Linked DNA regions of Xenopus tropicalis. The protein of the gene in region 2 purifies or fractionates together with the protein of the main gene of each other region. This does not show direct contact. Links are inferred from orthologs where the notes say so. Each region holds a gene or a part of one and is shown on either strand. Other genes may lie near its edges.

Region 1 (15,694 bases), on a different chromosome or scaffold from region 2:
TGTAGTTCTTCGCATTACAATATTTTCAATATACTAACTGTAAAATTGTAACTGTAGGAAACATAGGGTTTGTATACTGTAAATAATGTACCGCAATGGGTATGTTATGTTTTTTATAGACAAGTTTCAGTGAGTCAAGTGACACAAATGACATTTGTACACGGATTATAATTAACAATACTATGCACCATTGACAAAATATATTTTATAAAATATTCATGGCTCTTGTGTATTATAACAATATTATGTTATAGGTGTGACATAATATATGCATAATTAAGAATATTAAACTACAAAAAGAATTCCTTAATTTTGCACAAATATTTAGTTCAGGGAACATCACTTGTATGTATATTTGCATATATACTTATACATGTTATAGGTGCCATACCTCTTATCTGGCATTCTCCATATACAGCTATACAATAGAACTACCTACTTATTAAAAAACAAATTGCACTGTTCCATTGATGTATGCAGAAGATGTCATCACAGAGGCTATTTAGCCTGTATAATGCATCTTAAATTGACATTAACCAATATTGTTGCCAACGCAATGAAAATGGTAACAGCTACTTGGACATATAAATGCAAATATGGAGCACAGGATTGTTACTGTGTGTTTACAGCTGGCTTACCTGCATCCTTTACTAGTAGAACATGCTTAAAAGTAAACATTTTTCTGGTTTTATCTTTAACATTGAAGATTTTTTTTTTTTTTTTTTAAACATAGTAAATGTGGAAAAATCTCTTATTGCAAAAGCCAGGTTTAACAGCCTGAATATACAAACTCCCAATTATGTGGTATCAATACTATGGAGAATAAATGCTAATACATACTATGTTGAGCTTTTACTATTAGGAAAAATAGTTCTTAAAGGGGTTGTTCACCTTTAATATCCAAATCTTATTAAACCACCAACAATGCTCTCAAGCATGTTAGAAAATCCATTTTCCATGAAAATCATAAAAAGGCCCCTGTAAAAGCTTTTTACATCTGCTAAATCAGTCCTTTTTCTGTCTCTCTGATCAGTATTCTGAAGGAATGGGAGTGGCCTATTTTAAACCTGAAACACTGAGAACTTCCTATATGCTTACATCATCACGTCTAGGCTTTGTCCTTACTCTGTTCCTATTGGACCAATTCATTGGTTGATTGTGCACTTTAACCAGTTGCATAAATTCAAAGGCCATTGGTTAATTTCTGCCTTGCAATGGCACTATATCGTTATATTAGATTTGCAGCACAGGAAGCAATGTCAGACTGACAGGAAATGCAGCCATTAGGAGTTAAGTCGGCTGCCAGTATTATGCGATCATATAAGAAAATAAAAAAAAGCAGAACAGGGTCTGTGGATCAGTAGCAGGACAATTCCGAGGTGAACATCTCTTCAGCTGCACGTTTTTGGTTAACTATGAATACGGCAAAGATTGTTATATATGAACTGTTAGATTTGTGAATGTTGCACAAAGGCATTATTGTTTTCTTTAGCAGAAATCAGTTGTATTACACATGTTTTTATGTATAATACTTTGTTTGGTTCAGTACCTTATCTACTGTAATAAGCAAATTTTACTCTGATTTGTGGAGTTGACTGGATTTTGCTCTTCAGGAAAGTTGATAATTTCTGCCTTTACAATACGCTGCCAGGCAGATGTAATAAGTATGGTAGCCAACAATCAGCATGAAAATAAAGAAAAAGAGATAAAGAAATACAATTAAATGGTTAAAGAAAGGATGAAATCTAAATGAACAGAAAAAAAAGAAAACACAAAGAAGTAAATAAAAACATTTTAATATGTTTTAGTCCAACAGGTGGCAAAGATATTAAAGGCAAAGTACCATATATTTTTTTAATTATATTCCCTTTCTGTATGTCAAATAGAAATATTGTGTGAAACTGCTAAGATACTTCCAGGGATATCCCATGATTTTAAGCAAACCAGTTACAATATATTTGTATAATAATCCCTAAGCTTTGCAAATTTTCCTTTCTAACACCATCATGTCTTACCAGGAAAACACATGCGTCGGGAAGTAGCCCAAAATTACTTCATGACGCAACTTCAGGAAGCAAACACGACGTGTTTTCCCACCAGCAATTCACATTACTGCCAAGGGGAAGCAAACTAGGGGTATTTTCTACGGTAACAGATTTACTTTGGACGACAAAGTGTCTGTCATGTGTGACATTGCTGTAAAGGGATAATAATTATAAGAGCACATTTTATCCCAGCTTTAACATTAGCAAAAATGATATGCTTCTATACTTTCTATTTTGATTTAAAAAGCTTTTTGGGAAAAAAAAACCAACTGTCCTATCTTTATTGTTCTGCCTTAGGCTAATTTGAGGCAATTTGTGTGATGGGAAATACCAAGGTTCATTGGAGGCTCAAAAGCCCTAGATGAGAATATCTCTTCTTATATAATGAACTGCTTTTGTGCCCACCTGACTAAATATTTGCCCACAAAGAGTTTGATGCTACTGAGCTTGGTCAGTATGGAAGTGAGTAGAAACAAAATTTGAGTGCCTTCAATTGGAACTAATATAAAAACAATGATATAAAGAAACAGAAGATGAAAATGAAATGAATGTGTGAAAGTTATGAAAAACAACTTTTTTATAAATTAAAACATACAAACGTACAAACCTTTAGGTCTTCAAAAGGATAAAATTGACATTATAGGGCCATATTTAGAAATTAGAAAACAGTTACTGGATGGCTTTTGCTGCTAAGTATGAAATGCACTCCTAGCGCTGAAAGATTTTTTTTTTAAGTTAGTTATTGGACCAATGGCTATAACTATTTAGTCTTTGTCTTGAGTGAAAATGGCTGCTAGCACTGTAATTATAAACACAAATATAGTGGAAGCACTCACAGGATGTCAAAGGTAAGTGAACAAATGCTGACTTATACCTCAAAGCTTTGATTCTTCATTGTAAGTTCCACTGATGCAGGGAGTGAAGCAATCATTTAACAATCTCTGTTAAAATCTGTGCATTTAATGTGGTTAAGTTGGCACTATAGAAATTTAGGGCAATAACAAATATTGACAAGCCTAAACTCAGTTTATTCTTCTAATTGAATCTGGTTGAGAAAAATGCTCTTATGTAATTGGCTGAAGGCATCTGCCTGTAGGGCTGGCCATGGGTCAGCACAGTAAATGAATGATGCTAAAGTCCTATTAGACTCAAAGGCTTTTCATATTCATAGGATGTTAATAACTGGATACGTCTTGTCCCAACCTTATACACAAAGATGCAGCTTGCTCCTTATAAGATTGAGATGCATTTAATGTGGTTATTTAATGGCCTTCCCATAATTCAGAGCTTTCTGGAAAACGGATCCCATACCAGAACACTTCTATCTATTAATATTTATCTCTAACATATCTCTACTACTACTTATAGTGCTCTGAGTGGTGAATGATCAAAAAGTAATCAAATTCTTATTCCCTAAGCAAAGACTTTTAAATGAAATATTACTGGGCTATGGCTATCCCCTTATTTTAGTAATTAAGGGAATTCAATATATTTATTTATTTATTTATTTTTAATAAAAAGTCCTTATAAGGCTGTGATCCAAATGCAACGTTTTTTTTTTCTGCAATAATAAAAATTGTTTCAACTTACACTAAAATGCGGTCACCAAGGAAAATGTAATTAACTACTGCTTATTTACTTCATTTCCTTTGTTGTAATCTTTACATTAATCATTACTAATTTTACGATCTACAGTCTACAGCCAGGAGATTTTATGATAAAGCGTAGGTTATATTTACTACTGTATATATTATGGATCCTATTTTTAAATACTTGCCATTCCTTTTTTTGTGAGCATTAGAGAAACTAGCATTTGAAACTAGTTCCAATTAGAAAGTATTGGTCATCGGGTCTAACAACTTCATTGTATCTATTAGTAAGAATGTAATAAAATGTATTACAAAGATTCAAGACAATTTATTATATATGAATATGCCACGGGGAATCCATGACATTGTTGTCTTACAATATTTTATACCCTGACCATTTTAAGATGGCGATACCACAAAACAAGTTTAAGCATGTTGTGTGGGATCCATGTTAACATTAAGTATCAGGATAACCTGGACTGTTTTTATGACAACTACATAATTTAAAGGAATACTGTCATGAGAAAACATGTTTTTTTCAAAACCCATCAGTTAATAGAGCTTCTTCAGCAGAATCCTGCATTAAAATCCTTTTATCAAAAACACAAACACATTTCTTTATATTTAATTTCAAAATTTCACATGGAGCTAGCCATATTCTTCATTTCCCAGGGTACCACAGCCACGTGACATGTGCTTCAGTCACACTTTACTGCTGCGCTGCAAGTTGGAGTGATACCCCCCCTCCCAGCAGCCGATCAGCAGAACAATGGGAAGGGAGCAAGATAGCAGCTCCCAGTAGGTATCAGAATAGCACTCAATAGTAAGAAATCCAAGTCCGGCTTGGGACTCCTCCAGTTACATGGGAGTAGGAGAAACAATAGGTTAGCTGAGATAAGTTGTAAACATTGCGGTCTATGGGCCTTAATAAGTATTATAATTTATAATACATCTTTATCTGTAGATTTGTGAAGGTGGGATAAGCCCTGAATTTGCATACACTATAATTTGTTACTTCAGTTGTGCAATGTAACATCACATGCTCAGACATTGCCTTTAGATATCTTGGTATACAATAGGCATAGAATTGTATGAAAAAATCATATCATGCACAACTAGAGCTACAAAATTGAGTATTACTCAGTTCTTGTGAACAGCTCTACGGCTGGCCACACCCTCTCTTGTGAGTGACAAATCTGATTAATTTGCTGAATATTATGCCTTCATCATAACCTTTAATTGTAACAAGCTGCATTAAACTAAAATGCTTTAGTTAAAATATACCAGGTGATGCCTATGAGGCTATAGGTAAGAATGAACACTATTAGGGGCCCATTTACTTACTCACAAACTGGCCGAATGCCAGGGGGGGTTTTTTTTCGTAACGATCGGTATTTGGCGATTTTTTCGGAAAATTATCGCAACTTTTTCGTTGCCATCCGAATGTTGCTCAAAATCTGACGATTTTTTCGTAGCGTTAAAACTTGCGCGAAAAGTCGCGCCTTTTTCGTAGCCATTCCGAAAGTTGCGCAAAATGTTGCGATTTTTTCATAGCGTTCGGATTCATTCAAGCTTCAGTATGGTGACTTTTCTTGGGCCAGGTTGGAGCTGCAGGGTGCCATTGAGTCCTATGGGAGGCTTCCAAAATCATGCTAAGTCTGAAAGTTTCGGCCGCCGCTTACGAGCGCTCAATACGAAAAAGTCGCGACAAGATACGAGTGAATCGTAATGGCTACGAAAAACTCGCGTTTTTTCGCAAAAATCGTATTGGTAACGAAAAAGTCGCGACAATTTCCGAAAAGTCGTAAAGGCGCCAAAAAAAAAAATCGCAAAAAATACGAAAAAGACGCAAAATGTTCGTTTTCCAATCGGAATTTTTCCAATTCGGATTCGAATTCGTGTCTTAGTAAATCAGCCCCTTAGTGTTATCACTGGAAGTTATGGAACATAATTATATTTTGCAAATAAAAAAAAAATTTACTGCAGCATCCTAATATTCATATATTTTTTTGGGGGGATGGGGGCAAATATTGGTGGGATTATTACCTGAGATTGTTCAATTTCTGCTTTGTTTAATTTGATTCCAAGGATCTCAGCAGCAACTCTCTGAAAACACAGGAAAACCTACAAAGGGAAAAAAGGAGTTTAAATGATTAAAAACAGACATCCTCTAGTTACTTTCAAATACATCAAGTCTTTCCTGAACTGTAAACACTGTCGACATGTAAACACTGAATTTCTACTCCCCAGTCCTTAAAATACCTTATGATAGCCATACACAGACAAACAGTGGCTGCCAACTTGGGCACTCAAGGCCAACTTGGGAGCTTATTGGCCGTGGCTGGGAGCAATATGATGGCTTGCCAGATATTTTAAGGGCAGGTTAAAAAATGGTGCCTTGTTTTTTGTTCCACATATTACAGATAGTGAAAAATCCCTTGAAAGGCTCCAAACACAGAAATCCCATTTAAAAGAACCTTCAAAGGGATTCTCTAATCCCACTCTTTACAACAAATAAACAGCTTTGAGACCAGGGATTTCAGTAGTGGTACACCATATACAACTGCACCATATTCACAAGCACAATCACATTTTCCTAAAGCAAATAGCAAATTTCAACTGCTGGCCATTTTTCCTCTCACACATCATCAGTGAAGTTTACATCTGCAAACAGCACATGTGCGCAAAGATACTTATTTGGTTCCTGCAATGAAGAATGCAGGCTTACACAGGCAGAACTTAGTTACTGATAAAAGGTCCTGCTTGGATTGAGCACTGTAATGGTTAACCTGAGTTCAGGAGAGGAGTTTGGATAAAATATAAGAGCAGACAGCTAGAGCAAGATTCTGTGGGAACCAGCAATGCCATGTCTTTATTGCCTGCTAAACTGAAGCTGAAAAAACTGAGCATGCTCAGTAAGCCAAGAGCCAAAGCCAATTCCCGAGGGAGGGGCCAAATGGGTTAGAGGAGGAGAAAGAATCCTGGGTGATTAAGGGGATGCTGCAGCCTCAATATTAACTTTGGACAACAGGAGTGGTATTTAAAGATTTCAAAGATAATGTTCACTGATTAATCTTTTTTGTGGGACAGCCTCACTTTCCAGCCAGTAGTACAATATTCTTACTTTTACCTTTTCTGTTAATGAAACGAACCAATCATTTGTTCTGTGCTAGACGTGATACTGATATATGTATTTTATGTATAAAGCAACACATGTAGATGAAACAGGTTTTAAAAAAAAAAAAAAAAAAAAAAATTGCTATTAGCTCTGCTATGTGCAACTGTGGGCCTGCCCAAACAGACCTATGAATCCAAGGAAAGGAAAAATAAGGGGAACAGTTGGAAAGAGAAACATTTAATTAAAAATAAGGTAAACACTGAAGGTTGGTGTTATCATAATAATTAAAAAGCTTGCATTCATCAGCTTACCAAAAATGGTGCCTTTTGAAATGAAAAAGAAAAACATGCATCCACCCTAATACTGTATTGCCAGTCCTCCGTGTTTCTTATTTGTTGTCATGGACAATTAAGTTTAACAGTTGCCTTATACATGATTACTAATGTTTGGTTCCTAAAGATTTACTGATGGAACTGGCGGCTTTGGTCTGTTGATGAAGTCCAAGTTTATATGTCACAAGTCATCAGTTTATGATTTGTCATCTCCCGCTGTTCTACGCTGATGTACTACTGGCTGAAAAAAGCACTTGAAAATTAACGGCTGGATTTTTACCACCTTAAAGGCATACTGTCATTGCACTGGTTAACATTTTAACAAATGATTTTAGAAAATAATTTTAGTAAATATGAGGCAGAGCTGAGTTGGTCCTAGTTAAACAATTAAGCACTGGGCTCACTCATGAGCCCTTTTGTGCTCTTGCTCCCAAGGGCTTTGTAAATGAGGCTTTTTGGTGCTGCTGAACAATGAAGCAAGTAAGAAAAGCTGAACTTTCTCATACCGTAATTTTTCTTTCCTTTGGAGTCAGGCAGCAGCAGAATTCTCCCTACGGTTTGTTCAATTAACTATGTTAGCATTATGGTGTTATTACTTTTCAAAAATAATTCTTACAATAGGGTAAGGGGGATTTATGGGGTGTCTTACAGGTCTGAGGCATCACCTAACTGTCCTTTCCAGAGCTGTGGCATCAGAGGCCATTTTGGGTGCCTAGAGTCGGAGTAGGCAAAAATGTTCCGACTCCTAATAAATTTAAATTGGCATGAAAAAAACAATGTACTATTTCAGAGATAATACATAGTCATAATACAGTACTTCTCTGTTGTAAGAATGAAGGCCAGTGCGTAACTAGTGTTAAGTCCAGCTCAGCTATTATAACCTTACTGGTTTCATTTTTGTCTTTTGTTCACACTTTAGGTTTAGGGAATGTTTGTAGTTTATTTAATAAATAAAATAAAGAGCCACAATGTCACAGGCTTAGTTACAGATTTAGACACAAACTTGAACAGGATCCTCATTTATGTTGGTGGTGACAGGCTTGGATGGCCAACAGGGTAGTGCGTGAGCTTCCTAGTGAGCAAGTTTGTTATATCTGTATATTAAAAACAGAGGAGTTGGAGGTACCATAAACTGAAGAGTTAGTGTTGGAGTTGAAGCATTTATGTACCGAACGTACAGCCCCGGTCCTTTCCCATAGAATACAGTCTCTGGTGATGCAACTTAGGTCCAGAAACCACAACAACTATTTCAACCTCAACCCTGTATCAAAACTTTTTTCTTGCCATTGCCAACTCCACATAGACAGCATTCCTTTATTTCTTGGTTATTATAGTGTAGTTTGCTTAAATACAGAACTTGTTAGAAACATAAGGTTAAGGGCCCTGTTGCATGTAGGTGCTCCCCTGAGAAATCCTAATCTCTAAATACCTTTAGACACAAGGCATCTGTTCCTACAATCAATCTGACTTTTAATTTAGAAAGCTCCAATAAAACTAGTTCCTCAGGAAAAACAATTTATATCCTCTTCTTCACTACACAAAGCTTTCTCCCTTGGCTTTAGATTTTCATTTTTATGACCCAGTTGTAAAACCAAGCAGAAATGTGTATTATCATGGTCATCTCAATAAGTCTACACCCTTTTCTATCATTTTTCTTCTAGTTTCACTTTCAGATTCCAAGCTTTGTTCTAACACAAATGACAATATTGATGTTGTCATATTTTTACTTACAGAATCTCCTGTCTTTGCGGAAACAAAATAACTTCCTAGGTTGTTTTCTTGGCAGAACCTCTGATGTTTATCAGCTTTTACTGTTCGCATGTGCTCCAAGTCGACTAAAAAGGAATAACAGATGTATTAATCTAGGCACATATACATAAATTGTAGCATTAGCTTTGCTTTGCAGTCATCTAATTAAACAAATACATGTGTATGTTTATGTACATATAAAAATCAGAAATTTATTATGGCAAAGCAATGAAATGTATTTTGATGATTCCAAACATTCCCTTGAGACCTTATAAATGGGGACTGATGCCCAGTTTGGTGTAGTGTATGGTAATACTGACAATAGAAATCCTTTTGGCAATTTTTTTGACCCAAAAAGGAACTGGATGTTGGCATAGGTCCAAATACAGGTATGGGACCCTTTATCCAGAATGCTCGAGACCAAGGGTATTCCAGATAAGGGACCTTTCCATAATTTGGATCTCCATAACTTAAGTCTACTAAAGAAACAATAAAACATTAAATAAACCCAATAGGATTGTTTTGCATCAAAAGAAGATTAATTATATCTCAGTTGGGATCAAATACAAGGTACTGTTTTATTATTAAAGAGAAAAAGGAAATACATTTTAAAAATCTGAATTATTTAAATAAAATTCAGTCTATGGGAGACAGGATTTCTGTAATTTGGAGCTTTCTGGATAATGGATCCCATACCTGTATTTACATGAAAAAAAATTAAGAATGCTTAGGAGTAAGAAAATACCAGAGAATAAAGAGGATAGCACTAACAAGAAGTCTCTGTGGCAAAGTAAGAGAGGAAAAGGAATTATAGTCACATACAAATTTATTTTGTGAATAAGAGGAAAAAAAAATAAAACTAAAAGAAAATTCAAAATCCACTACTTGCTAAGGGCTGTCTTTTGAAAGTGCTTCTGCCCCAAAAATATAGACAAGAAAAATGATAAAATAAGAATAATGTCCCAGATAGAGGGGCAGATGGGTGGGAGATAGATTTTGTGGAATCTAAAGGAAAACCTTAGTAGAATAGTGATGAATATACAAAGGGTATGGACTTGAAGATGGGGAAGAGTAGGTATAAATCTGTCCTTTTCATAATATCATTTTAAATTAAGCGTTTTGGGGGCTTGAGGTGAAATAAGGATTTAAAGATTTTTGAAAACCTACTTGGCAAGTAAGTTAGTTCCACTGACAGTAATGCTATGCCCAGAGAAGAACCACAGGCAAAAAATGACCATTCTGTTCATTGTAGTAGAAAGGCGCTCTTCTTGCCAAGTGAATTGAAAAGCATTTGCTTTTTAACATGTAGAAAGAGTAAACTCCTTGCTTGTTAATTGACTAAGCATTGGCTGAATTACTCAATTATGCTTAATTAAATATATTATGTCTTATAAAAATATCCAGGCATGCTTGTCAATTATGCTTAATTAAAGTTATTAGCTTTCAATAAAAATATCTCAGTAGGCACAATTTTGTGCTCTATTAACATGGATACTGCAAATAGTGTTTGCTGTGTGTCAGCTAGAAGAGTAAAGAGAGAAACAGGGATGGCCACACTCTAAGGTGTGAAGAATAAAATGATTTCTTTATCCTACATTATATATAGCTGGAACTGCTTCAGACCTTAGTAATCAGTGACAATGTATATACCAATTATTAGTAAGGATTATATTCATATCATAAAAAAAGTGAAGATCCGTCAGTGTGGTCAAAAACAGGATCTCTGGAAACATTGGGACGTGAGCACTTTGACTGAAGAATGATGCCATAATGCGTTCTGATCTGGAACTTAGAATTCTTTCTTATATTTGTATGTATACATTTCCATACAAGCCAGTGATGGGTAAGAAATGGGCAGCATGACGGCTCTATAGTTAGTACCGCTGCCTTGCCATCCTGAGTACTATTTGCATGCATGTTTTCTGTGTCTGTGTGAATTTCCCCTAGGCATTTCCCTATACTCCAAGAGATAAAGGCCGTTTTCCCTTCTAATGACACTGTCCCTTGTGCGTGTGTGAATGTAACAGAGTTATTTGTTATTTGAGTTATTTTTTCTACTCTGCTTTACTTATTTCCATATTTTTCCCACTTCTGCATATACATACTCTGTGACAGACTTGTCCATTGCGCTTCAGTCAGGAGCTAATGAAAGGACACGAGGAATCCACTAAGGCCCCTTGAACTTTACACGTTTCATAATCAGAAGGCACTTCAACATAGCCCTTAAGTGCCTCCTGAGCAAGAAAAAGAGGGGTATGCACAGTTGCCTATATGGACCTCATTTCAACTGCACATGTGTCTGGTTGGTGAAAACTGGGAAAAAAAAGAGAACCAAGATGGTAGCCGCAAACCTCAATGCAGTTACGTAGTTAAGTTGGGTTACAAAAAGACCAAAGTACATCAAGTTCAACCCCTTTGGGGCGGGTTCTGGGCAGATTGAGGGTTAAAGGGGTGGGCCAGGGGCTGAACTTAAGGATATTACAGATTTACTGGCAGCTACATTGCTGGTAAATTTGTAATACCAGCCCCGGCCTTGGCAGGTGTTTTACCGGCTAGGGTGGCAACCCTATCTGTATAGTATTGCATGAAAATACCAAACATATAAATGAGCACAATTAGATAGTCCTTTATGCAATGCATGCACATGCTATGCTGTAGCTTTATAACTAATATGTGAAAAAGGAAGCACGCCTTGCCTTAGTACTCAATACCAAATGAAAATATATCAGTTTTGTAAATGCATTTAACTCCAACTATAAGTCAGTTTAGGAAAACAAGGAAATGCCGTGTAAGCTTTTTGGAAACACTTGCAGCAGTCAACATACTTTATTTTTAAGGGCAAATGTTAATCCTATAAGCCTGTGTTCCAAAAATGTTGCTCTGAAACAGAAAATGCATAATTCAAGTGTGAGGTATATTATTTAGTTTCTCCCATTATATACCCACTGGAAGTAGAGCCAAACCTAACAAACAATGCCATGTTTCATTGCAAAGGGCATGGTACTCAAGCAGTGTGCAGGTTTTATTGTGTACATTCCAGTTTCTCCAAATCTGATCCTGAGGTGACTGGAAGCTACATTGAACAGTTTCTGTTTTTATTGCGTACAGTCCCTATAATGGTGTTGACTCAATGCTGTCAAATTATAGGGCAAATATATTCACAAGCATTTAAGGACAACCAGGCTCTTTGAGCAAGTATAGGGAAAAAAACTTAAACTGATTTCCTGAGGAAGGGACCCTACTGGCTTGTAAAAACCTGTAAATTTGCAAATCTAGTAAGTCTGCATAATGGTGTCATTCGATTATCAACTAAAAATGTCCACTTACTCTATAAAAAGCTTTATTTAAAAAATGATATTGGAGGTCTGTAATTGGTATACTCTGGGGATTTTTGTTTTTGAGCAAGAAAATCAAAATAGTTTGTAGATTTAATTAGCTGATGGGGATTGTTACTGAAATATGCCAGGGCAACACAAAGCATCACTACATCTTTATCTTGTAGATTGTAAGCTCTTTTGGGCAGGGCTCTCTTCCCCTCTTGTATCGGTTATTGATTGCTTTATATGTTACTCTGTATGTCCAATGTATGAAACCCACTTGTTGTACAGCGCTGCGGAATATGTTGGAGCTTTATAAATAAATGTTAATAATAATAATAATATCTAATACCACCTCCAAAATAGGCAATAGCTTCAGGCTCTCCGCAGTGATGCACCAAAGGAATAGGACACAAACAGTATCACACCTAAAACTACACCATCTGGAAAAATGCTGCATTGTGGGTATAAACTAATTATAGTGGCACAGGTTTCTAAGCATGTTCAGGCCACATGAGCAATCACGACTGTAAATTTTTTGTGGCCGCGTGGTATACATTATTTAAAATGTTTCAATGTCATTCAAGTTATTTTTAAATGTAACTGCTATTGAAAGCAATATCTTTTTATATTCTCTACACGTAAAGGAACAGTTCAGCGCACAAATGAATCTGGGTAAAATAGATAGATGCGCAAAATAAAAAATATTTTTAATATAGTTAGTTGGGCAAAAATGTAACCTATAAAGGCTGGAGGGAGCAGATGTCTAACATAATGATCAGAACACTACTTACTGCTTTCAGCGATGTTGTCAAGCGAGCGGATCTTCTCCCGATATCCCCCACCTAAGAATGGGTGATATCGGGCGAATCCAGGCTGAACGATCGAATTAGAACGACGGGTATAGGCGAAGTCGGATCGGGGACCGCATCAACGAGCCAATGCGGTCCCCAATCAGACTAAATTTTTTAACCTGTCCGATCATCGTTAGTGCCCCTACACAGGGCAATTAGCTGCCAAATCGGTCTAAGGGACCGATATCAGCAGCTAGAATCGGCCCATGAAGTTTCAAAAGTCTTAATCAGAGAACGGAAAGAGATAAACAAATACTGCTTTCAGTTGCTATTAAATTTACAGTAACATTAAAACCACTGAAAATTCTTAAAAAATGTATATTGGGCCATTTTTCTAATTACATCTTATTTCATTATGCAAAAGGTTTTTGACACTAAATATTTTTCCTCTAAAGATCTGTAAGTAAAAAGGAAATCCCACTAATGCTATTATTAGTTAAAATAAAACCACTTAATTGTGGTTTGTATCTGTACATAATAAATTATAAAAGCTGAATGGTAGAGCTACAATAAATGTCAACCGTGAATTATTACATTTGTTCACACACTTCATTTTCCATTTAAAATACGCCGGATTAACTTGTGACATATATGAACAAAATATATCTTCTCTGTGTATGAATTGGTGCCATAAACAAACTCTTAAAGACTCTCTAAGGTAGAGAGACCATGCAGAAATAACTTGTTACCTCATTTTATTACTGGTTTTTCTGGTTTCTATCACACGCAATTGCTTGTCTGAAACAAATAATGATTACATCCCTTTATCAGATTTACAGACTTAAGTCTGTCAGAGCTTTGTGTGTATAATACAATTCTCCAGGATTTGTAACATCCATTCCACTTTACATTGTGCAGACACAAGTTCAGAAGTTCTCAAGCAGAAACAAGACTGCAGGACAGTGAGGAAACTGCCATTAAAGCCTTACAGTTAATGGTGGGCCGTGGTGCCTTATTTCCAACACACCCTAGTAAAGAAGAAAACCATCTGTGTCTATTTATTATACAGAAAAATGGAGAAATTTCAAGACCCCACGAATTGGAAGAAATGTCAAGATGGATCGAGTTTACTTACAAAGCACAAAATCCTAATGGTATCAATGATAATATTTACATTAAAATGTATACTTTCTTATCACAGTAGAAAAACATGATGTCCCTAGACAACTGCCATCTACTGCTTAAAAAATTGCTAAATACGCACATTTTTCAAGGGCACTTACAAGTAAATGAAAAATGGGATAAACAAGTGATCATTAGTTAAGCCAACTACTAGTTAAAAGTTCAATAATTCTAAATGCAGATGACAAATTGTGAGCTAAAACAATGAATTCATGGTTATAGGGTTATGGTAAAAAAAGTGTGTGTGTGTGTGTGTGTATATATGTGCATATATATAATATATATATATATATATATATATATATATATATATGCTTGGGTCCTGGGGTTTTCCACATGACAGGAAAACCTAAAATTTATTAAAACGTTACATAAACCCAATAGGATTGTTCTGCCTCCAATAAGGATTTATTATATCATAGCTGGAATTAAGTACAAGCTACTGTTTTATTATTACAGAGAAAAAAGGAATCATTTCGAAAAATTAGAATTATTTACTTATAATGGAGTCTATGGGAGACGGCCTTTCCGTAATTTGGAGCTTCCTGGATAACTGGATATCGGATAACGGATCATATACCTGTATATATATTTCAATATGTTTAATATAAAACAAGAGTAACTTTTTCCTTATTATTTTTCTCTGATCTCAGTTTTTTTCTGCAATAAAAATGGGCCCTGTTATCCAGAATGTTTGGGGGTTCCCTGGGGTTTACTGATAAGTGATCTTTTTGTAATTTGGATCACCAGATGTTAAAGGCGTGAATCATCAACGTCTGAGTTTGATTTTTTTTTCATGCTTTTTTTTTTTTTTTACTATATAAAAAAAACCCTCTAATTTGAATTACGGTTCAAAAACTTGAATGTCTGGTATTTAAAAAGCTTGAAAATTGGAATGTAAAACTTCATCTAAAAGTTTGAGAGTTTCTATAGAAGTCAATGGGAGTTGTCCTAGAAAAAGTCAAGCCCTATTTTCAAGATATTTGAGTTTTAGTCGAGTTTGTAAACTCAAAAATTCGATGTATTCAAGTTTTTTTTTTTATTCAAATGAGTTTACAACATTAAAAAATAAGCGTTAGAAAAACCAACTCGAATTCACAAACTCCAAAATTAAAATCTAAGGGCTATGGCAAATAAGGCATTTTGACCATTGGTACATTTGAGAAAAATATTCTAGTACTGGTGCTGTCAGGCATTTCCCAAATGGAAGGCAGCAGGAATGGCTGAAACTACCCCCCATAGACTTACACTGAAATAAACTGAGATATAGTGGCACAAAAGTTTCCATCCAACCTTGTAATAGAGTCCTGAATCAAATCTGATACCCATGGAATACACACAAAGTGGTCTGGTTTTGGGTGAAAAGTCTCTGGTTCCTTGACTATGCAGGTGAGGTAAAATGCAGGGTCTAATCTACCGCCCCCTACAGATAAAATATATTTTCTTCCCCCTGACCAAGTTGAGGGATGACACTTCCAGTTTTGTGGTTCCCAAATCAGGAAAAGAAGTTAACTTGTTGCTGTAAAGTCTGATAGTAGGGGCCAAGAAGGTCGCTGTGCCCAAGTCAG
Region 2 (16,415 bases):
CTTTTGCAAACATCAGAAACTATCAGATTTTGCGATTCGGATTCGTACTTTAAGGAATCTGGCCCCTATTCTCATCTTAAAATAGTAGTTTGTAAACACCTAACATCAAAATGGCTCTGACAGAAATCCGATATCGTTTGGCTCAGTGTCGGACTGGGCTGTGAAGGGCCCACCGGGACTCCGGTCCCAGGGGCCCTTCAGGTGCACTCATCCGGGCGCGTCCTCAAATCCCCCCCCCCCGTAGGGGCCCCCTTAGCCCCCCCCCTCGCAGGGCCCCCACCCGACGTCCTCCCCGGGCGCATAAATTTGACGCGTCAGGGGAGGAGCGTTCAGGAGGGGGAGCGCCGGCAAGGGTCGGGTCTGGGCTGCCAGGGCCCACCGGGATTTTTCCCGGTGTCCCGGCGGCTCAGTCCGACCCTGGTTTGGCTACAGGCATAGGATTATTCCTCTTGGTCTCATATTCCAAAAGCCACAAAGAATTTTTAAAACATATAAGGGATCTCATCATTGAAAGGTATCAGTCAGGATAGGGGTACAAAAAGCAAGACGAAAGCCTTTAAGTTGGCCCATACACACGCCAATATTATCGTACAAAATGAGGTTATGGTGCGATATGTTGGATTAACGAGCCGATATTGCAAAATCCTTGTATATTCGTTGTCTCGTCGATCAGGTGGGACAGACAATTTTGATTGCCCCCCCATTGAAGGCACCCAAGCAAAGGCAATCATTTAGGGCTTAATCATCAGATAGGGGTAGAATTCCTATTGTTTCTACCTCCATTCCCGAAGATTCAGCTCTGAGCGTTAGTGGAGGGTACAAGCGACCATTGATCACAGGAAATATCAATTATAACGTGTATGTCCACCTTTACTCACAAAGAAAAACATCCAAGCCTGCCTAAAATTTGCAAAAAGGTATACCCAGTCCCTCACAACCTTGTGAAAAAAAATGTATTATGGTCTGATGAAACCAATGTTGAACTATCTGGCCATAATACCAAAAGATATACTTGGTGCAAAAATTACACAGCACATCACAAGGACACTATACCCACAGTGAAGCATGGTGGAGGCAGCATTGTGCTTTTGGGCAGCTTTTCTTCAGCTGGAACTGGTGTTTAGGCAATGTGGATGGGATCATGCATAGTTCCAAATCCTTCAAACATCCGTTAGGAAGATGAAGATAAAGAGGAACTTCACCTTTCATCAACCCAAAGAATACATCTAAATCAATAATGCAATGGCTTCACCCAAGGAGTATTAATGTTCTGGAATGGCTCAGCCAGAGCCCAGACCTTAATCTGACTGGTAATCAGTGGGTTGACCTGAAGAGAGCTGTGCACAGGAGATGCCCTCACAATTTGACAGATCTGGAAATTTTTGCAAGGAGTGGGCAGAAAAAACTGCCAAGTCCAGAAGTGCTAAAACTCAGAGCTTTAATAAAATCAAAAGGTGCTTCAAGCAAGTTTTCAACTTTGTTGTATAGATCGCAATTTTGCAATAAAGGTGGAATAAGTTCTGACAGGATTTCTGTTTTGTTTTTTTTTTAACAAAAACCTGCCATTTTGCAGGGGTGTGTAGACTTTCTATATCCACTAAATGCCTTGTCACACTGCAGATCCTAGAAGGCTTAGGACAAAGATGCTAAATGTTTCTCATACTGTAATCTCTGGCAATATAAAAATGGTGGCGGAAAAAGCGAGCAGCTGTCAGAATAATCTAGCTTTCTACAAACGAATACAAAATCAAAACGGAAGCTGGAAGAAAAATGTATTGTTTTGCTTACCTTTTTCATTTTAATAGAAAGCAAACAAGAAAAGCACAGAGAAATACAAACTTCAAACAAGAAATTGATTTCCCAGCAATAGAAAAAAAAAAAAATCATGTACCTCTGGTTTCATCCATTCCCCGAATTCTACAAATAAAGCCCTTGCACGCAAGGCCCATCTGCTGATGTGAGTTTGTATCAGTGTGTCATTATTTGTAACTGGTGTAGCACATTGCACAGTTCTACAGTCAATGTCTGGAGTCAATTCAACAACAATAAGAGAAATTCTATTTATACTGTTAGAGGCCCCTGTGACCACTTGTGGCTGTTTGATACTGGTTGATGGAGCTTCTAGTATTTTCCATATTACACTAAGCCTCGATAAATATTGGAGCATTAAATACAATAACATTCCAAAGGGAAACTAATGATTATGATAAAATTAGGTTATTTGTGTAGAGACCGTTGTGCCACTTTCCCAAACCACAAACAGAACGTAATGTTAAATCTATGTACATAAAAAGGACAAGGGCGCACAGTGCGTATATCTACTTCTCTCAGCCCTGTGTTTTTCAGTCAGACTGAAAGAAGCTTATCTCCTTGCCTGCACAATAAACTACAGTGTGGGCACACAGAGTGAAGAGGATCGGAGGTCAGTCTGAAAAACGAATGCTTTCATGTTTTTCAGGTGCAGGAAAAGGTGATGTACCGTGCTAGCCAGTCAAAATGTTTACAGGGTAACCCTTTTGAAATAAAAACAAAAGTGTTATAAAAGGCGATACCTTTATTGGCTAAGATAATCATAGCAAGCTTTCAGAACATTAAGCTTGAAAAAGGAACTAAAATGTTCTGAAAGCTTGCTATGATTATATTAGTTAGACAATAAAGGTATCACCTTTATACCACTTTTTTTTTTTCAGCCTGACTAAAAAACACAGGGCTGAGAGAAGTGAACATTTGCACCTTCTGCCTTTGCCCTAATGTAAAAGTTTACCTATTAAGTTTTTTAATTATTTTTTAACACTGTAGTTTTATGCCTTTGTAAAGGTAACCTTTTACATTTCTTTTTCAGTACAGAATCATCGCCAACCACTATTTCAGCAGTACCTGTAAATAAATGATCGGTGGTGCCAGGGCCATCTAGACATTGCCTCACTACTACACCATTACTTCCTCTTACCAGTGCAGCTTGAGGGACTATGGCATAAAGCATAAATTACCACCAAGCCCGTTGGCAGACCAAAATACAGCTGTAATTCCTAACCGAACCTGAGCGACAACTAATTTAATCCAACATGGGAAAACATTTTGTCACTCTAGCTATTCATACTAGTTTTCAGTTAGAACTATTATTTATACTGTTATACTGTTAAATGTAATCTTGTTACGATCATAATGACATGTATTATCTAATCTCTATTATAACATAATTTGTCCAACCACTATAATCAATAAACATTTCTGATAAATCAGGTATATTTTCTCTTAAAAAGAAAAAAAAAAACATTTTAATTTCTTTAACCAGGCAAAACAGAATACATGCTGTACCACAGCCAAGTTGTCCTTGGGGTAACTCACAATCCCGAATCAATTTACAGTAAAAATTAGAAAAACTGGTGTATGCCTTAAATATACTGTAAAGCAGTGTTCCCCAACCAATGGCTCGTGAGCAACAAGTTGCTCGCCAACCCTTTGGATGTTGCTCCCAGTTGCTGCATAAAAACCCAGTGTAATTGCCAAACAGAGCCTTCTGTAGGCTTCCAGTCAACATAGGGCATATATGTCAAACACAAGGCCCGGGGGCCAAATGCGGCCCACCTGGCTGTTTTATGTGGCCCTTGGTGAGTGAGTCTGACCATCCAGCCTGATCAATTTCCATTTTCCTCACATAGTAACTAAGACTAAGGGGTATATTTATCATGCTGTGTAAAAAGTGGAGTGAAGCATTACCAGTAATGTTGCCCAGGGCAACCAATCAGTAATCAGATTTCAACAGTAGCAAAGCATCTATTGGCTGCTATGAGCAACATCACCACATTGTGATAAATATACCCCTTAGTATCTTACTAAGTATATTAATAAAAAATTTGGCCCACGACTTAGTCTGTGTTTTAGATTTTGGCCCCCTTATGTGATTGAGTTTGACACCCCTGACATAGGGGCTATTAAATAGCCAATTATAGCTCTCATTGGCACCTCCAGGAACTTTTTTCATGCTTATGTTGCTCTCCAAAACTTTTTTCATTTGAATGTGGTTTACTTCTACAAAATGATTGGGGATCCCTGCTGTAAAGGAACACTTTGAAAGAAAAAAAACAAAACTTTAGATCACTACTATAAATGTTCCAGATAACATATCTAAGAAAAAAATGAAAGTCATCCTACCATAATAGTATTAATGCTCTAAAGGTGATATGTGTCTCTGTGTGATCCTCCTTTAAACAGTGGTGTTAAAAGGGGCTCTGTGTAGCTTGCCATTTCTGTCTTCAGTTGCAAGCTTTTTTTTTTTTGTTACCTTTAGCGGTGGTATTGTACATTTCTTGTGTCCCCAAACTTACTCCACAGGTCCAAATACATACTTTGCCCAATGCATTTCATCTTGGTAGGCTTTCTAAAGTTATATGGTCTAACTAAACCAAACGACAAAAGGGAAAATTCCCAGTAGGTCCAGGCACAAGTGAGCTCTCCTTTTCTCCAAGAATGTGGCTTTCTATGAAAGTATTATAGCTATTCTCTTAGAAAAAATAAATAAATACCAAAAACAGAAGTAACAAAAAAAAAAAAACAGTGGGGGTAATTTACTAACATAGGTGCTCAACTGCACTGGTACAAGTTTACATCACAACCTATGGATATCAGATTTTGTAGGATTAAATCTGACCCACAAAAGTAGGGATGCACCAAATCCAGGATTTGATTCGGGACTCGGCCAAGATTCAGCCAAATCCACACTCTTGGCCGAGCCAAATCCTCAAAATCACATTACTTATGGTCACAAACACGGCTCTAAACCCTTACTTATCCTAATTTACGAATACAAATTAGTATTCAGACTGTTTGGTATTTGGCCGAAACATTTACGATAGCGGATTCATTGCATCCCTACACAAAATCTAATTTAAAAAAGTTACTCAGCAGAACTGCAAAAGAAAAATGCAAGGGTAAAATTTTACCTGTAGTTAGCTACACATATAAAAATCCACTGGTTTGTTCAGGCTGCGATGTTGAAGCAGAGTCAAGTCATATTTAAGCACCCAAAATAAGAAAATCTCTGCAGCCCGCCGCTGGATACTTAAGGCAAAAGCCAGCAGTGATACTGAGGGAGAACTTGATCTTTAGCGATCAGTGCATGCTCAGTACAGTAGGATTGCCTGTTCATGTGCTTATCAAAAGATGGAAGAAAGGGAGTGAGCTGAGCAGAGTCTGACTGGAGTGACTGGGGCCCACTGGGTACTTGACTTAAGGGGTCCACCACCCAGCCAGTGCTGCTCCTAGCTCACCAAGTTCCCACTCCGGAAGATGGCCGTTCCACAGTAGAACTTATGCCCATCTTTAACTTTTAAAGGAACAGTTCAGTGTAAAACTGAAACTGGGTAAAATAGACTGTGCAAAATAAAAAAATGTTTTCAATATGGTTAGTTAGCCGAAAATGTAATCTATAAAGTATTATGTAGGCAGATGTCTAACATAGTAGCCAGAACACTACTTCCTCCTCCTAAGTTGTTAACAGTCAGTTACCAATCAGTGACTTGAGTGGACATAACATTTTGCACAGTCTATTTTACACAGTTTCATTTTTTACTAAACTGTTCCTTAAACAGCAAAATAAGTAGCACAGCTAAGCAGGGAGAGGTGATGGCTGGGGCTTGCGGGCAGACTGGCATTCAAAACAGGCCATGGCATTTCAGGCAGAGATGCCCAAACCAAACAGCCCCCCATCAACCCACTAGTGACTGTCTATGGCATCTTACAGCAGCCTCTCTGGCATTTGCCAGCCAGGGCTTGGGTGGCAGGGTCTGGGCCCACTGAGATTTTTCCTGATATCCTGGTAGTCCAGTTTGACCCTGGAGCTAAGGTCCAGTGCTTAAGGCAGCACCAGACAAATTAAAAAGTTTAGCTTCCATACAGGGCCCAGTGGGCTGCCTATATCGGTCTGTGTATAGACACATGGAAAGACTAAGAATCCTATATATACTAGGGGCTGCCAAAATGTAAAGCACTACCCAGTGCATTACATTACTATACTATCTCCTCAGACCGATGCTCCTTTGTGTCCTTATTTTTTCAGATTTTAGTCTATTACACATGCTCAAATCTAAGTTTATGAAAGGCACAGCTGAACCACTTTTAGAAAGTTTCCCAAGCCAGTAGTGATGTCGGGGTCGACTTCTTGTCGACCTGCACCCCCCCCCCCTCTCCATCTGCACCCAAACTGGCCCGCAGCTTCATGTCTATTAAATAAAAAAAGACTCCAGTGATTAAATTCACTTAGAGGGGAATTTACATATCAACACTTCCCCTACCCCAATGACAAGGTTTCTTTCCCATTAAAGACACAACACATACAAGACCTTAACCACATCATCAAAAATAAGTCTACTTCTATAGAAATAGACCTAGCAATCTGTAATAATGACCACCCCTTCAGATCAAAAAAACCTTATAGAAGCCACTTATCATATACCTCTGCCTATGGCATGAATTCAAACAAAAAAAAAACCACTCATTGAGAAAATGAAATCAAATATCTGATAGGTTGTCATGAGCAACTGAATTGGTGATATGTAGTAGTTGTTATCTTAGTAAATCATCCATACAGAGAGTTAACCCATACAAAATGGCTGCAATGTAACCGATCTAGTGCTTATTTCATAATGCCAGCAGTTGTTGTTTGTCTGTTAAACAAGCAGGTCTGATGCAGACTTGCACTTTTTTGTAGTATTTTATTATACAAATTTTGAGGTGTTTATTGCGTCTCTGAATCCCAATAGTGTGTGTATTTGATGCATTTAATGTTCTAGCACCAAATATAAACCTATAGATAAGTATATCACATATGGTCACACCATGCTGATAGTTTGCATTAATGCCGTATTGCAGGGAAGTCCTACCTGTGGCCTGCCATCTGGACTAGATCTCCCTAAGCGCTAATCACTAATCACTTTTAATCTTCCAAGAGATGCTGAAAGCTCAACAGCTGGAGGGCCAGAGGCTGGTCATCAATGCAACACTGAGATAAAAAAAAATAAAGCCTGAATCACCAGACGCCACTCATTTTTTTGACTTAAATTTATATCTTATACTTACAACACCTGACCTACACCAAGGGACCCATAATTGTGATATCACTTTCTCATAACATGCTCTTTTCCACTTACACCCTTATTGTTGGATACAGTTTGAATCCCTTTAGGATTTGCTTGGCTCTCTCATCCTGAGACATGTTGAATGCTGTCCTTGATTTCCTTTATCAGTTGAAGGATTATCCCTTGAGATATACAGTTCAAGTTTTCCGGTCCTAGTTATGCAAAAGCTATAAAAGCCAGTGTTGAGTTTTACAGTGATTACAATAGACTTCTGGCCTCTGTAGATGATCCAGGTTTGTTAAGCCTGCATAAGATTCATACTGACACAACAAAAGTTTAGTTTGGTTTAAAATTAAATACGATGGTCTTGGAACAGTACTGGTATAAGTCTTGTTTAATTTAAATTTCAGAAAGTACATGCATGACGGTCTCTCGCTGGCCAGTAGAATGACAATAAAATAGGTGTGGCCTAACCCTAACTTGGACTGTCAGAGTAATTCCATTTCAGCCAGTGCTAGCAACAGCAACCAGCACAAGCAATCATAGGTGATCCAACAGTAGCTTCACTCTCTCAGTACATACACGTTTTAATATGCAATATCTTGAGATGTGTCCAAGTGCCAATTCTGGCAGGTGAGTTGGGGCCCTTGCAGCAATTGATGATATGGACAATACACAAAATATAACTGCAATGGTAGATGGTTTGAGCCAGAAAGGGTACAGGCAAGCGATATCAGCCAGTCAGACCACAGGTAGGCTGTACAGGCCAGACATAGTGCAGGTAGGTCGGTGCTGGGGTAATCTAGCAGCATAAACAGCTTCTATGCATTAAGTAGTAGTTCCACACCTATATCACACCCACCACATAGAGTAATAATCCTGAACAGAATTTGCAGTTTTACTTGCACCTGGAGGCGAGCAGCGTGGATTCTGCCTCTGACAGACGCCCTGATCAGCTTTCCGTAACACAGAGGTCCCAGGGCCACGGCACTGGGAAGAACTCTACAATGTTGCACTGCTTTCCGGAATCGTATAGTAACTACTCGTTATGTCAGCATGGATTTAACAACTAGCTCCTCGTCTACAGGATCTGGCTAAGAAGATTTACTAAGCTACATCAGTTCCTCCTATTTGCCCTATGACGTTTAGTACAGTTCAACAAAAAATGCTAGCACCGGCCAATCACAGTCGGAATCCCTGCTGAGTGATATCGCCACGCACCAATTAGGAGAGAGAGAACGTCGCACGCAGGGCGGGACAAATCGATTTCAAGTCTGGTTGAGTGCTCGCGCGTCACTAATTTGAGGAACCTCATGTTGCATAGAAACGGAGGAAAGTTGTACGGGACACGAAAAGGGTCAAAATACATTCACTGGCTACTTGTTCCAGGTGGTAATAGAGAATAATTGAGTTTGGGTGATCTTGCAAAGTTTACTTACTGAAGCAAAGCAATTTAGAGCACAAGTTCACATGTTCACAACTCGTGTAGGTAACTTAATGCATTACATGATGACTGTTAGTAACTACATAGTTGGGAAGATACTGGATTCTATTTTTTTTTATTTTAGGTTAAATTTACTGGCGCAAATTTTCTCCCCCTCTTATTCAACCATAGTTTACAGACCCGGACTGTGATTCAAAATAGGACATGGCATTTCTATTATACAGAGGCCCAAATAGCCCCCCCCCCCCTCCCCAATAAATAGTGACTTGTAGATTGTAAGCTCTTTTGGGCAGGGCCCTCTTCACCTCTTGTATCGGTTACTGATTGCTTTATATGTTACTCTGTATGTCCAATGTATGTAACCCACATATTGTACAGCGCTGCGGAATATGTTGGCGCTTTATAAATAAATGTTAATGTAATAATTTATAGTGCACATCAGGCATTTACCAGAATACACAGATTACCAGTCCAGGCCTGAGGGGCACCGAAATTATATTATATAATGAGAGGCAGTGGGTACTGACTCACAAAATACATTTTATATAATGGGAGGAACTACGTACTGAAAAACCAAATATAAACTGAGAGGAAGTGGGCATTGAAACACTGCCAGGAGAGCTAGTAGGGAGAGGCGACACAAAAATTCTCTTAACTGCACAAAAACTGGATACCTACAGTGGCTTGCAAAAGTATTCGGCCCCCTTGAACTTTTCCACATTTTGTCACATTACAGCCACAAACATGAATCGATTTTATTGGAATTCCACGTGAAAGACCAATACAAAGTGGTGTACACGTGAGAAGTGGAACGAAAATCATACATGATTCCAAACATTTTTTACAAATAAATAACTGCAAAGTGGGGTGTGCGTAATTATTCAGCCCCCTGAGTCAATACTTTGTAGAACCACCTTTTGCTGCAATTACAGCTGCCAGGCTTTTAGGGTATGTCTCTACCAGCTTTGCACATCTAGAGACTGAAATCCTTGCCCATTCTTCTTTGCAAAACAGCTCCAGCTCAGTCAGATTAGATGGACAGCGTTTATGGACAGCAGTTTTCAGATATTGCCGCAGATTCTCGATTGGATTTAGATCTGGACTTTGACTGGGCCATTCCAACACGTGGATATGTTTTGTTTTAAACCAGGGATCCCCAACCTTTTATACCCGTGAGCCACATTCAGATGGAAAAAGTTTTGGGGAGCAACACGCGCATGGAAAACGTTCCTGGGGGTGCCAAATAAGAGCTATAATTGGTTATTTGGTAGCCTGTATGTAGACTGGCAGCCTACAGAAGGCTCAGTTTGGCTTTACACTGGGTTTCATGCAACCAAAACTTGCCTCCAAGCCAGGAATTCTAAAATGAGCAGCTACTTTGAGGTCCCTGGGAGCAACGTCCTAGGGGTTGGGGAGCAACATGTTGCTCACAAACCACTGGTTGGGGATCACTGTTTTAAACCATTCCATTGTTGCCCTGGCTTTATGTTTAGGGTCGTTGTCCTGCTGGAAGGTAAACCTCCGCCCCAGTCTCAAGTCTTTTGCAGACTCCAAGAGGTTTTCTTCCAAGATTGCCCTGTATTTGGCTCCATCCATCTTCCCATCAACTCTGACCAGCTTCCCTGTCCCTGCTGAAGAGAAGCACCCCCAGAGCATGATGCTGCCACCACCATATTTGACAGTGGGGATGGTGTGTTCAGAGTGATGTGCAGTGTTAGTTTTCCGCCACACATAGCGTTTTGCATTTTGGCCAAAAAGTTCCATTTTGGTCTCATCTGACCAGAGCACCTTCTTCCACATGTTTGCTGTGTCCCCCACATGGCTTGTGGCAAACTGCAAACAGGACTTCTTATGGTTTTCTGTTAACAATGGCTTTCTTCTTGCCACTCTTCCATAAAGGCCAACTTTGTGCAGTGCACGACTAATAGTTGTCCTATGGACAGATTCCCCCACTTGAGCTGTAGATTTCTGCAGCTCGTCCAGAGTCACCATGGGCCTCTTGGCTGCATTTCTGATCAGCGCTCTCCTTGTTCGGCCTGTGAGTTTAGGTGGACGGCCTTGTCTTGGTAGGTTTACAGTTGTGCCATACTCCTTCCATTTCTGAATGATCGTTTGAACAGTGCTCTGTGGGATGTTCAAGGCTTTGGAAATCTGTTTGTAGCCTAAGCCTGCTTTAAATTTCTCAATAACTTTATCCCTGACATGTCTGGTGTGTTCTTTGGACTTCACGGTGTTGTTGCTCCCAATATTCTCTTAGACAACCTCTGAGGCCGTCACAGAGCAGCTGTATTTGTACTGACATTAGATTACACACAGGTGCACTCTATTTAGTCATTAGCACTCATCAGGCAATGTCTATGGGCAACTGACTGCACTCAGACCAAAGGGGGCTGAATAATTACGCACACCCCACTTTGCAGTTGTTTATTTGTAAAATATGTTTGGAATCATGTATGATTTTCGTTCCACTTCTCACGTGTACACCACTTTGTATTGGTCTTTCACGTGGAATTCCAATAAAATAGATTCATGTTTGTGGCTGTAATGTGACAAAATGTGGAAAAGTTCAAGGGGGCTGAATACTTTTGCAAGCCACTGTAGATGCTATTTAACCAGAGACAGGGAGAATGCCCTGTTTCTCTTGTGCAGGTCAGAGCGCAGAATGTGGTCAGATAATTAAGGGATCATTCCTTCAGAATCTGCTATGGCTGTAATTGAGTACACAACTATATACATTATCAGAGCTATAAACCCCAGGGGATTGTTGTGACATGCAAATCGCGCCGTCCATATTCTGGTGGGGTGTGTTGTTTGACGTCATCCCACATGCACACAATGCACATGACATCATGAAATGTTCACTGCACACTGCACTTTTTGCAATTGGAAATGATGTGTGCTTCTCTGAATACATGTGGCGTGATGTGGCTATTTCATTTATCAAGGACTGTCCAGTCCAACCACCCCCTGTATTCAGAGGAGCCCCAATTAGTTGTTGTAGGGGATGTCATTAGAAGCACATTAGAAGCTATTGTTAAGCAATGTATTTGGGAACCCCACTAACTACCAATGATTCATGATAAAGACAGGTATGAGGGCAAGATTGGTGCATGGGAATAAACATTTTTTGGGCCTGCAGTTCCAATGCCTATGTCAAAATGTATCTGCCCAATCAGATTTCAACTATAATAGGGAACAACAACATGTAACAAAACATGTATATGAGGGTTTTCAAAGGTTCAGATCTTTATAGCCATATGTTTAGCCCAAGATTCCATAGTACTACTGTAGAACTATTCAGCAGTGCATTGCGGAAATGAAAAAAAAAAACGTGTAACGTGTTCCTAACAGTTTTCAAGGGTGCAGAGCTTTGCCATCAATTTACTCCAAAATCACACTTTACTATTTGACCAATAAGTGCCCCATTACATTGTGTTGAAATACTACTAAGCACATTGTTGCAAAGGAGAAACCATAAGTATGGGTTCATCAGCTAATATTGGGTACAGACCCCTCACCTATCTAACTTCTCAGCATCACAAATGTTTTCAAGGCATAGTGCCTTTTCCAAGCAACAATATATGCAACAGAAAGTGATTAAGGAACCCAGAGCAAAGAATGTTTGGTCACAACATTATGAACACAATGGTGAGCTTGTACCCTGCTCACAAGCATAGAAAAAAGGTAAGTATAGAATATTTCTGAAATTCTGTTATTTCCCAGTAGAATCCAGCAGAGACCTGATAGTAATTTTATGATTTATCTTCCTGGTTGGTGTCCATGCATTCCATTAGACAGGGTTGAACTGGGGTGTGCAAGAGCCCTGGTGGGCGCTGCACCCCCGAAGGGGCCCCCACCATGGCCTCCACACAACCTGCAGGGGCCCAGCCACCTTCCCTTCCCTGAGTGTGTGTAAATTAAACTTACCTTTAGCATGTTGGAGGAGGAAGACCGGCGGCCCAGGGGAGTGGCCAGGGGGATCAGGTTTGGGTTGCTGTGGCCCACCGGGTTTTTTCCTGGTGCCACCAGCCCAATCCTACAAGGTAGTGAAGGCACAACCCAGAGGCAAAGCAAGAATTAATCATCCCCTGTTGAGATGTATTAGAAATAAATAAAAGGAGAGTAGTGGGATGTGACTGATATTAAAAGTAAAAATAATTCTGCTAACAAATAATGTTTTCTTTCCTTACCCTGCACCTAAGAGTATATTTATCATATTCTGGGGTAGATTCCAAACCAGTGGTGCTAGAGTTTAATGGGGAGGTTTAATACTCAACGTATATTTATCTTACACTGTAGGTAAAAGAGACCTGCATGTTGAGCTTATGGCAGCTCCCACACAAACAAATGACAGTAAATGGCATCCCATGGGCATAACAAGCAATGTTAATGGGCTTGGATATGTTAGGCTTTGATCACAGACTTGAAACATATGAACATTTAGTATAAGAAAGCGGATAAACTAACTACATAGGAAATGTATGAGGGTAGCTTGCTGCACCTTCTTCTCTTATGGATGCTCTGAAAATAATCACAGTACCTGCTAGCTTAAAAGAAAATATATCCTTAAACCCTACCATTTTTAAGAAGATTTATCTATAACTGACTATAGAGATATGTACCTGGCTTTGCACTGGGTAACCAGCCCATGCCCGGGTGACACCTGCGACAGGGCAAGAGACCTCAACTGTTGGGAAGTGACATTTGGTAAAAAGACTTTTCGTCCAGAGCAATTCAATTCAGCAATTCAAGCACTGCGCCTTCACATAAGAAAAGAAGAAGAACAGGAAGTAGAGAATAGGTTGAGGGTGTCTGTACCATTACATGCTGGTGGGTCACTGTAACTGTATATGGTGGGGTTGTAAAAAAAAAAAAAGGCACAAAGTTCTTACAGGTCTAGTCACCTATACTGTGTCTAATGCTGGTAGTGCTAAATTACCTATTATTATTGCCTGAACTATAAATAAAGTCTCTTTTCTCCACTAGGAAAAGCTGATACCAAGAGACCCCCAGCTCAGTTTTCAAGGCCTGACCCATTCAGCATGTCCACTTAAGGTGGCCCTACACAGGCCGATTTTAGCTGCCAATATCAGTACCTTAGACCGATAGGGACCAAAATCTGACCTAAAAACTTATAGATTAAAAAATTTAGTCAGATCGGGGACTGCATCGGCTCGTTGATCCCCAGGGCCAAACGACCGAATTAGCCTGAATTCGCCAATATCGCCCACCCGTAGGTGGGGATATCGAGAGAAGATCCTCTTGCTTGGCGATCTTAACGTGTATGGCCACCTTTACTTACACTTTCTATTCTGTGCTGGGAGGAGGATTTGGCAAAGTGAGTGACTGGTTCTCATTAAGCACAACTCTTTTTTGTAGGGTGTAAATCCTAAATATGGTGGAAAATAAAAGAACTGAGTGCTCTGGGTACTATTTCCAATGATGCGTAAAGAAACAAAATCCAAATCTGATTTCCCAACTATATACCAATGTGTTTTCCATCTTAGTGCGCTAAACACATATTATTTGCTATGTAAACAGTGTAATTTATAAAATAAAAAGTATACCATAAAAATCATGACAGAATCCCTTTATTAAACACGAAAAGTATACAGAGTGCAGTATGGAGTAGTAGACATGTGAATACAATATCCAAAAAATAAGTATACATATGTATATGCTTATAAAAGATAATATTCAACAGAAAGCATACAAAAATTGATCAAATCTATCTTCAACTGGATCTCACATGTTGGGGTAGTAGATTTGATTTCTGAAATGAATGACTACATTTTATATGCCCTTTTTTCTTCAAATGTAATATAACGGTCTAGAGTTTGCTACTTGTCTAGTAACTTATAGCAACCCATAAGCAGGCACATTTTTAAGAAAATGTTAGACTTTTTAATATAGTACCCCATATATTTGCTCCTTTTTCCTTCCATAGGGCTCATTTAGTAACACTGGAAAATTCTGTAACCCATTGCCATCAATCAGTGATTAGGTTTTTTCAGCCTGCTGCATGTAGAACTATAAAAGCAAAAATTGATTGCCATGGTTTACTGCCAGTGCAAATTTGCGCAGTGTTGATAATTAAGCCCCTTATTATGCCATATCTTAGTAAGTAAAGCAAAAATAAGCTACATTTTTTGACCATATGAAACTATATCTTTTTTTTAACCATTAAAAATGGCAATAGATCTCTCGCCCGTGATAGTTCTCTGCTATCGTGGGCAACTAATCTGTCCAAAATGCCTTTCTACCAACACGGGGAATCTGTGGTAGAAAGGGCTACACATTTTCCGAAGTCACGCAGTTTCCTCCTGCAGGCACTCATGTATTTTTGGAAAGCCAAAGCAATGTGTAGGCCTTTCCACAAGCCATTCCCTTTTTTGCTGGTGGAAAGGCATTTTGGAGAGTTTAGTCACCTGGGTTAGCAGGAATCTCTTGCGTGAGATTAAATCTCACCAGGGGACATTAGCCGAAGGGCTGTGGCAGACGGGGAGACTAGTCTCCCCGAATGACCATCCCGCCGGCTAGTATGTAAATCGTCATTGGGATGGCATATGCGGCGCCAGGGCCGCCATCAGAAATCACGGGGCCCCTCACAAAAAAAATTTCTGGGCCCCCCTCCCACCAGTACAAAGGACTCACAGATATGAGACACTGGTAGCCAGCAGGGCCCCCCTAATACATTGGTAGCCAGCAGGGCCCCCCCTAATACATTGTTAGCCAGCAGGGCCCCCCTAATGCATTGGTAGCCAGCAGTGCCCCCCCCCCCCAGTACATTGGTAGCCAGCTGTGCCCCCCCAGTACATTTGGTAGCCAGCTGTGCCCCCCTTGCCCCAGTACATTGGAAGCCAGCTTAGCCCCCCTTCCCCAAGTACATTGGTAGCCAGCTGTGCCCCCCTTGCCCCAGTACATTGGTAGCCAGCTGTGCCCCCCTTGCCCCAGTACATTGGTAGCCAGCTGTGCCCCCCTTGCCCCAGTACATTGGTAGCCAGCTGTGCCCCCCTTGCCCCAGTAAATTGGTAGCCAGCTGTGCCCCCCTTGCCCCAGTACATTGGAAGCCAGCTGTGCCCCCCTTGCCCCAGTACATTGGTAGCCAGCTGTGCCCCCCTTGCCCCAGTACATTGGAAGCCAGCTGTGCCCCCCTTGCCCCAGTACATTGGAAGCCAGCTGTGCCCCCCTTGCCCCAGTACATTGGAAGCCAGCTGTGCCCCCCTTGCCCCAGTACATTGGAAGCCAGCTGTGCCCCCCTTGCCCCAGTACATTGGTAGCCAGCTTTGCCCCCCTTCCCCAAGTACATTGGTAGCCAGCTGTGCCCCCCTTCCCCAAGTACATTGGTAGCCAGCTGTGCCCCCCTTCCCCCAGTACATTGGTAGCCAGCTTTGCCCCCCTTCCCCAAGTACATTGGTAGCCAGCTGTGCCCCCCTTCCCCCAGTACATTGGTAGCCAGCTTTGCCCCCCTTCCCCAAGTACATTGGTAGCCAGCTGTGCCCCCCTTCCCCAAGTACATTGGTAGCCAGCTGTGCCCCCCTTCCCCCAGTACATTGGTAGCCAGCTTTGCCCCCCTTCCCCAAGTACATTGGTAGCCAGCTGTGCCCCCCTTCCCCAAGTACATTGGTAGCCAGCTTTGCCCCCCTTCCCCAAGTACATTGGTAGCCAGCTGTGCCCCCCTTCCCCCAGTACATTGGTAGCCAGCTTTGCCCCCTTCCCCAAGTACATTGGTAGCCAGCTGTGCCCCCCTTCCCCAAGTACATTGGTAGCCAGCTGTGCCCCCCTTCCCCAAGTGCATTGGTAGCCAGCATCTTGTTGTTCGTCGTCGGCAGCGGCGGCTTCGCGCTCTTCAGGCAAGGCCCTCCCTGCATGAGACCTCGGCGCTTCTGAGTGCC

What was found.
Region 1: the proteins of retinal rod rhodopsin-sensitive cGMP 3',5'-cyclic phosphodiesterase subunit delta (region 2) and rab28 purify together in Homo sapiens (affinity purification with mass spectrometry; 3 studies listed by BioGRID and IntAct, with this or other methods). This does not show direct contact. The link is inferred for Xenopus tropicalis from reciprocal best matches to the Homo sapiens genes PDE6D and RAB28.

Annotation. Positions count from the first base shown.
Region 1 is NC_030677.2:27,319,978-27,335,671, forward strand, and holds part of rab28 (ras-related protein Rab-28), read right to left. Parts: intron 8,920-15,694; coding exon 8,816-8,919; intron 5,759-8,815; coding exon 5,681-5,758; intron 1,645-5,680; coding exon of another isoform or gene 1,555-1,644; exon of another isoform or gene 1,550-1,554; intron 1-1,549.
Region 2 is NC_030681.2:101,174,150-101,190,564, forward strand, and holds the start of retinal rod rhodopsin-sensitive cGMP 3',5'-cyclic phosphodiesterase subunit delta, read right to left. Parts: upstream 8,240-16,415; 5' UTR 7,214-8,239; coding exon 7,167-7,213; intron 1-7,166. UniProt on the Homo sapiens protein: Promotes the release of prenylated target proteins from cellular membranes. Modulates the activity of prenylated or palmitoylated Ras family members by regulating their subcellular location.